2 linked regions of the Kluyveromyces lactis genome follow. The protein of the gene in region 1 binds, or shares a complex with, the protein of each later gene. Links are inferred from orthologs where the notes say so. Each region holds a gene or a part of one and is shown on either strand. Other genes may lie near its edges.

Evidence for each region.
Region 2: the proteins of KLLA0_F21406g (region 1) and FIS1 are in contact, whole or in part, in a crystal structure (PDB 3UUX), measured with the Saccharomyces cerevisiae proteins. The link is inferred for Kluyveromyces lactis from reciprocal best matches to the Saccharomyces cerevisiae genes MDV1 and FIS1. Residues at the interface, in NP_012423.1 of Saccharomyces cerevisiae: Asn95, Lys96, Phe99, Arg100, Leu102, Thr103, Tyr104, Ile105, Ser106, Asp108, Leu109, Asn111, Glu112, Ile113, Pro114, Glu145, Thr146, Ser147, Leu148, Phe149, Gln150, Gly151, Phe152, Lys153, Tyr155, Leu156, Ala159, Gln243, Ser246, Ser249; in NP_012199.3 of Saccharomyces cerevisiae: Val4, Asp5, Phe6, Pro8, Asp12, Glu15, Leu17, Gln21, Ile24, Leu25, Gln28, Ala37, Thr38, Ile39, Gln40, Ser41, Phe43, Asn44, Trp47, Lys51, Arg59, Val62, Lys63, Thr66, Tyr69, Lys70, Ala72, Glu73, Ser74, Arg75.

Annotation. Positions count from the first base shown.
Region 1 is NC_006042.1:1,995,626-1,999,741, reverse strand, and holds KLLA0_F21406g (WD repeat MDV1/CAF4 family protein), read left to right. Parts: upstream 1-1,364; coding exon 1,365-3,482; downstream 3,483-4,116. Other genes in the region: SPC34 (Spc34p), read left to right, coding at 111-938. UniProt on the Saccharomyces cerevisiae protein: Involved in mitochondrial fission. Has a partially redundant function to CAF4 in acting as an adapter protein, binding to FIS1 on the mitochondrial outer membrane and recruiting the dynamin-like GTPase DNM1 to form mitochondrial fission complexes.
Region 2 is NC_006039.1:696,576-699,283, forward strand, and holds FIS1 (Fis1p), read right to left. Parts: upstream 1,181-2,708; coding exon 713-1,180; downstream 1-712. Other genes in the region: EFM4 (Efm4p), read left to right, coding at 1,511-2,209; YRB2 (Yrb2p), read right to left, coding at 2,292-2,708. UniProt on the Saccharomyces cerevisiae protein: Has a role in mitochondrial fission. Has a role in outer membrane fission but not matrix separation. Required for targeting MDV1 to the mitochondria.

The sequences.
Region 1 (4,116 bases):
TATTTCAAGAAATTACATAGTATTGGATGAAATATTGTATTCCATAGCAGTTTCCTGAAAGAGGGTGGTGCCTAATCTGTACGTGTAGTGTTTTTTAACAACATCAAAGGATGTCTGGATCATTAGATTACTGCCTGGATCAGATATCAAAATCCGCGGAGTCAATATCGACCTTATATTTCAAACCGCCAGGCATCTTTAGAAATGCGATTGTACCAGGCAACAGCAAAGTGTACTCAGATCTTATAGTAAAGCTTATAAGAGATGGCGATTCAATTGAAGAAATGTCATTATACAGTACAGATAACGATGGAAATATGAAGCGTAAGGATGGGAAAGTAGGGATATACGATCATCTCTTGGAGAGGGAAGCAACTTTGAAACGGAACAGAGCACTATGTTTACCAGATCCAAGACCTATTACCTACATACCGAAGGGGTTTTATCTCAGTCAAAACGATCATGTCATCCGAAAGAAACAGAAACCTGCAAGAGATTTTATCTTCGAAGGAAGTAACAGCGATGAGCTGGGAATCTACGACGTGCTATTGAAAAAATTCAGCAAGGACGAACAAATCAAGCAATTTCTTCATGCATTGCGGAATGGAAGTGTGATAACTGGCGAGGATGTATCAAGAAGGAAAACTCTTTTCGTAGAAGATTTCCCAATCTCGATTATATTATCTGTGTTCCGGGAAATTATAGATCAATGGCCTCTCACTGAATACAAGGAGAAATTTGAAAAACTAATGCAAATATACAATGGATTACAAGCTGATATTAATGAACTTCAGAAGAAAGTAGAGATCCAGGAGTTAGACTTCCAACACGAAGCGTTACCGGAAAAAACGTCAATATCATCTCTCATCGATAAAGAGGAGAAAGAAATACAGAAGCTCGAGAAACAGTTGGACCTTTTGGAAGGGAGAAATAAGTGAAATCTAGCAGCGGTACTAAAAATCCATTTGATACATTAATAAGTTATATCCAAGAAAAACCGATATGCTTGCCGAAATGAAGTGGAAAGATATATTTCACACTTCGGGAATTAATCTCGCACTGGAATGGAAATATTCATGTAAGTTTCAGTTCAGTATATATCATTTTTGTATTATTAAGGTTCTAATTTTATGATAACGAAATATATCGTAGTTCCATTTCTACGGCATCTTGCTCTTCTACAGAGAATACGGTTTTCGTTCTTTCATATGATTTTATTGCTGCAATGAAAGTTCTAATTTCAGAGTACAAAAAAGTAGATACATGGAAACAAAGAGTTGTTAGTTCCTATTACAACTTCAAATCTTAAAGAAACATATGTTGCGAGCAAAAGCCTCGATAAGAGTGTTAGTGGTGCCAGAACTATGAGTTCTAATACGGGAGACCAGTTTGCCAATCTGGGAAAGGCACTGTCTACCACGGCGTCTGTTCTATTCTCGTCGCAGCCGATGGAAGACACAATTCTTTCATACAGTAGTCCATATAAGAAATTGCTTCATGAGACAATTACTAATGCAGGTGGGGGATCATCACTAGTTAAAGTACGCCACGACGTGAAATTATCTAAAGGCAAGAATACAGGTTTCCAAGATATATATTCCAATAGCAAAGAGTTCTTTAAAAACTCTTATAGTGATCCAAAAACAACATTCAAAGTTTTAAGTTACTTGAGTGATGATCTACTTGAAGACGCCCCACGAGACACTATACCTCAGAACAAGAACATGATAACAGAAAATGGCGAGAAAAGATCTGCAAAGTCAAAAAAGCAAGAACCGACGTTATTTCAAGGATTTGAAGCATCTTTACCTGTTATTAATGAAACGATAGAACTACAGCAAAAACTTATAATGAATAGCGATATGAAACCCTTAACAGACTCTGAGTCCATCCCAGTTTACGCTGAAGAAGAAGAACAAGAGGAAGAGTTTAGTTTGCCAGACCATTTAAAAGCTGATAAACTTCTGCATTCTTACTCCGCATCCTTCTTGAAGGATGCCTCGAGGTCAATCACCGATAACCTGGATTTACTTGAAATCCAGAAAAATCTAGCAGCTAGCGAAATAAGAGAGCTAGATATCAAGCTGGAAAAGTTAAAAATGATGCGTGAACTAGTATTCAAGCGAGTGGCTAAAATTGAGCAGCATGAATTGTTTTTGGAGAAGCATTTGAACAACGTTAAGGATAGAATCGATATGATTATAGAGTACAACATGGATAAAGAATACTCATCGGAGGATGAAGAAAATATAAATGGATTATCTGAACTTTCGCCTAAAACTGGAGAAACTAACGAAACATATGAAACTGCGGCTACCACTCCTTTAGAAAACAAAGAAGAAGAGCACTCTCCATTGCTTTCCAAATCCATCTATCAGCAGCTACAAGACCACGAGAAGAAATCGGATATTTCCGAAAGGAAGAAACATAGTACTTCCAAAAAAATTAAAGATGTTGGTGTTTCTCACCGTAATCGCCGCCGTAAAACTTATCCAACTTTACAACAGTTCTATGATTCCGGATCTAAGATTACAAGCCTTCCTAAGGCCCATGATGAAGATATCACTTGCCTAGATTTTGATATGCCATTTGGTACTATGTGCTCTGCTGGCAGTCTAGATCACTCGGTAAAAGTATGGGATTTAAGTAAAAAAAAACAAATTGCTACATTGCATGGACACTTAGCATCTATCAGTTGCATGCAAATTGATCAATATAGCACCCTGATTACTGGTGGTCGGGACGCAGTTCTGAAATTGTGGGATATCGATAAGGCCATGGCTGATGAAGCGTCAAATTCATCTGAAGATAATGATGCATGTTTATATACCTTTGATTCTCATGTTGATGAAATCACCGCAATAAGTTTTGACGGTGACAATTTGGTTTCTGGTTCTCAGGATAGGACAGTACGTCAATGGGATCTGAATAGTGGTAAGTGCACCCAAACCATAGATATATCTTTCGCAACTGGCCCTATGCGGTCTCAAAGAAACATCCCTCTTCGTAATAGTGTACTTCTAACCAAGGAACCGCCGGCTATTGGAGCTTTACAATGCTTCGATGCTGCCTTGGCGACAGGTACTAAAGATGGTATCGTAAGGCTTTGGGATTTAAGATCCGGGAAAGTAGTACGTATGTTAGAAGGTCATACTGACGCCATCACCTCCCTTCAGTTCGACTCGGTCAATCTAGTTACAGGTGCAATGGACAGAAGTATAAGAATATGGGACTTAAGAACTGGTATACTTTCTGACGTATTTGCATATGAGCAACCGATCACTTCTCTACATTTCGATCTGGATAAGATTGTAATTTCAAACAATGAGCCTACTGTGAAAATTTACAACAGGAAAGACGGTAACCACTGGTTCTGCGGCGAAGATGATCCTGAACAAGGTAACGTGGATTTTGTTAGATACAAACACGGATATTTGGTAGAAGGGCGCTCGAATGGTGACATCAACACCTGGGCAATTTAGACCTACAAAATTGTTTCAGCTGAAATGAGAGTTATGACATTTGCCGTCATCTGGCACATTACTTCAAAAATAATAAATATTCTTCACTATTCCCCATAAATTAAATAGAAAAATAATTAGCATACAATGTAGGTGATCACTTGTATATAACTCACTAGTATAAAAAGACCATCCTCATAATACCTTGCTAGTTATTTTCGCGTGCAGTAGAATGTTTCTAGCTACAAGCCACTAACAAGACATGCTTCCAAGCCAAAAAAATCTAAGATTTAACAAAAAAGAAATGGTTGCGAAGAGATTCGAACTCTTGCATCTTACGATACCTGAGTGTTCCCAACTGTAAGGTTGGTTAAGATAGGTATCTTGAATCAGGCGCCTTAGACCGCTCGGCCACACAACCAATTTCGTGATTATTAGTTGAGAATGTCCACACTATAATGTAGATACCGTCTCATAAAGAGATTATATTAGAATAATCACTTGCAATATATGGCTTTACAACGGTATACAAATTATTCAAGATGTTAAAGACGTCCATGTTCATGCAAAACAGCATCTCGAAGTTGCTACGCGCATGTTTCAGCGTTCAACGACGTTTCAGAGAGGAAAAAAAAGCGTTAACCGCCGCCGTCAC
Region 2 (2,708 bases), on another chromosome or scaffold:
TATCTCGATTAAGTAGGATAGTTTACGTGTTACGCGCGTTGGTGGGAAGTGTAAACAACCGGCGAACCTCATTTGGTGTTCTCGAGTGAATAAGGGCTTCCAATAGTCGAGTGCGTGATGACGGGTGCAGTATCCACAGAAGATACGATGCCTTCGACAAAACAAGAGGAAAAAACAGACGTAGAACAGGGTGCTAGGTGTGTGAATTGCGGCAAACTGGACAGAATTAGACTCGGTTGTTGTTGTTTGTTACTATTTAATGGAAGACTACGTGATACCGCCAGTTAGTAAGGAGGAGAGACCATCATACTGATTTGGTAATCTGGAAATTTCCTATGGTCACGTGATACGATACCAATGCCTTTACCCAAGGCGAAGGCGAAGGCCACTAGAACTGTGGGGCAGTACTTGGTCCAATGGAAACAATTCTTCCTATGTATCCATCATTACTAGCAATTGTAACAGAAACATTTCACTTCTTCGTTGTTCTCACTTTTGTAACTACATTTCATCTTTTAATGTAAACTTTGTGATGCAATTCATGAATTGAAGATTCACAAGTTCGAATATATTTTGATCATTAGCAGATTATTTCATTAGATTGATAGGGACATACATATAACATTATTTACAAGCGAGTAATATGGGTGACAGGATATTCCCTGGAGATTATATTTCTATTCTTGAGAATGTAGTGGAGGAAAGAAATTTGTTAGCGCCTTCTGCCTCTGATAAGGAGGCCGATGGTGGTTGCGCCGATGGCGATTCCTGCACTGATCAAGGCAATCCCTTTTAATCCCTGAGAAGTGATCTTGTTTTCTACAGCGGTTTGTAGCATCAATGCTTGTTTGTTTTCAGGTTCATGATGCACTAGTGCATCCACGTACCGCTTTGCAGTAGAGTATTCGCCGAGTTTGTAACATCCGATGGTCAAATAGTATAAGCACTCTCTTCTTCTCATTGGAGATTCTTTGTATATGTCCGTCAATAACTTAACACCCAACATCTGATCTTCCTTATTCGTCGATCTGACGAGACCCCAGGCGTAATTGAAGCGTGATTGAATAGATGATATTTCGCCCCCTTCATTGAGCACCTGTTGCCTTAAAATTTCGATTTGATCGCTGTTTAATGCAGAATATGAATCCTCCAATTCAGGAAGGTAGTGGATGTTAGTCATACCGCAGTATTTTTTTGAGCTTGTGCGAGTGATTTCAAGATAAAGAAATAACTGCTACCTTCGATCGTTTCAGATGTTGTTAATGATATTGTTTCAAATTCAATGTCAAATTATCAGTTTTAACTTTTCAATTTATTTTTCTTACGTCCGCTAGACATCTCGAAAACGTTTTGATTATATACAAATATATACAGAAAGTCATCTCTGAGAATTGGTACAGAGGCATCGCAATAAGATCAGCAATTGAAGTTCCGTTCCAAATATCAACACTGATAATTGCGGTAATTTATCCGTTGGTTCATTTTTGTCCAGAAAACTTACACTAGAAACATGGAAGATACAACAAAATTGAATACTTCTAAGTTGGGAACTAAGGAATACTGGGACGATTTCTACTCATTAGAGAAACAAAACTTCGAGGAGAACCCTGAGGATACTGGAGAATGCTGGTTCGCTGATAACGATGCAGAGGAGAAAATGGTCGAATTTCTACTAGATAACTTGGGCGAATACAATATCAAAGAAGACAGCTCAATGATTGATCTCGGAACTGGAAATGGTCATCTTTTGTTCACTCTATTGGAGGAAGGTTTCAAAGGTGAAATGATCGGTGTAGATTACTCTGAAAAATCAGTCGAGTTTGCTGCTGAGATTCTCAAGACTAAATACAGCCAAAATGATAACGTAACTTTTGCTACGGCAGATATATTCAATGAACAATGGGCCCCAGGTAAATTCGATGTCGTTCTAGATAAAGGTACACTAGATGCCATCGCATTAAGCGGTATAAAATTTGAAAACAATGAAACCGTGGTAGATGTCTATCCGAAAGTGATAGAGAAGATATTAGGCGAAAACAGTATTCTGTTGATTACATCATGCAATTTTACAGAAGAGGAACTCATAAAGATTATTGAAACAGAGACGTTGAAAAAATGGAAATCGGTAAACTATCCAATATTTGAGTTCGGTGGTGTCAAAGGAACTACAATATGCAGCGTTGCCTTTCTCAAATCTTCTGCTAAATAATCTTAATTAAGGTATTATTCAAAAGGTTTTAAGTAGTGTCAATTTTACAAAGTCTGTTTGAATCAGAAGTAATATGTCCAATTCAATTCTCCAGGATATGAGCATTTACTTTCTCATATAACTCATCTGCTATTTCAGCTTTTCCTGTCCTTAAGGCATACTGGACAGGATTCTTGTTCTCATCAACTGCTAATATTCTGACGAACTTTTCTCCGTTCAGAGAACCTGGGAACCCTTTTTTAATAGAAAATCCTTTTACAAGCGGTAGATTCAATATTACTTTCAATAACCCACGGGATCTCATTACTATTCTCGACTTTTCTGAAACTTCATCTTTATTTAAATGTAGAACACCAATTCCTCTTTCCTTCCAACCATCCTTTATATCGGTAAGCTGATACAGCTTGGCATTTGTTTGGAAGATCGATTCTTCTGTCTCTTCGCCCGATTTGACGTCTTGTTTCGTTAATTTTACTGTTGGCTCTCTTGATTGGGCTGG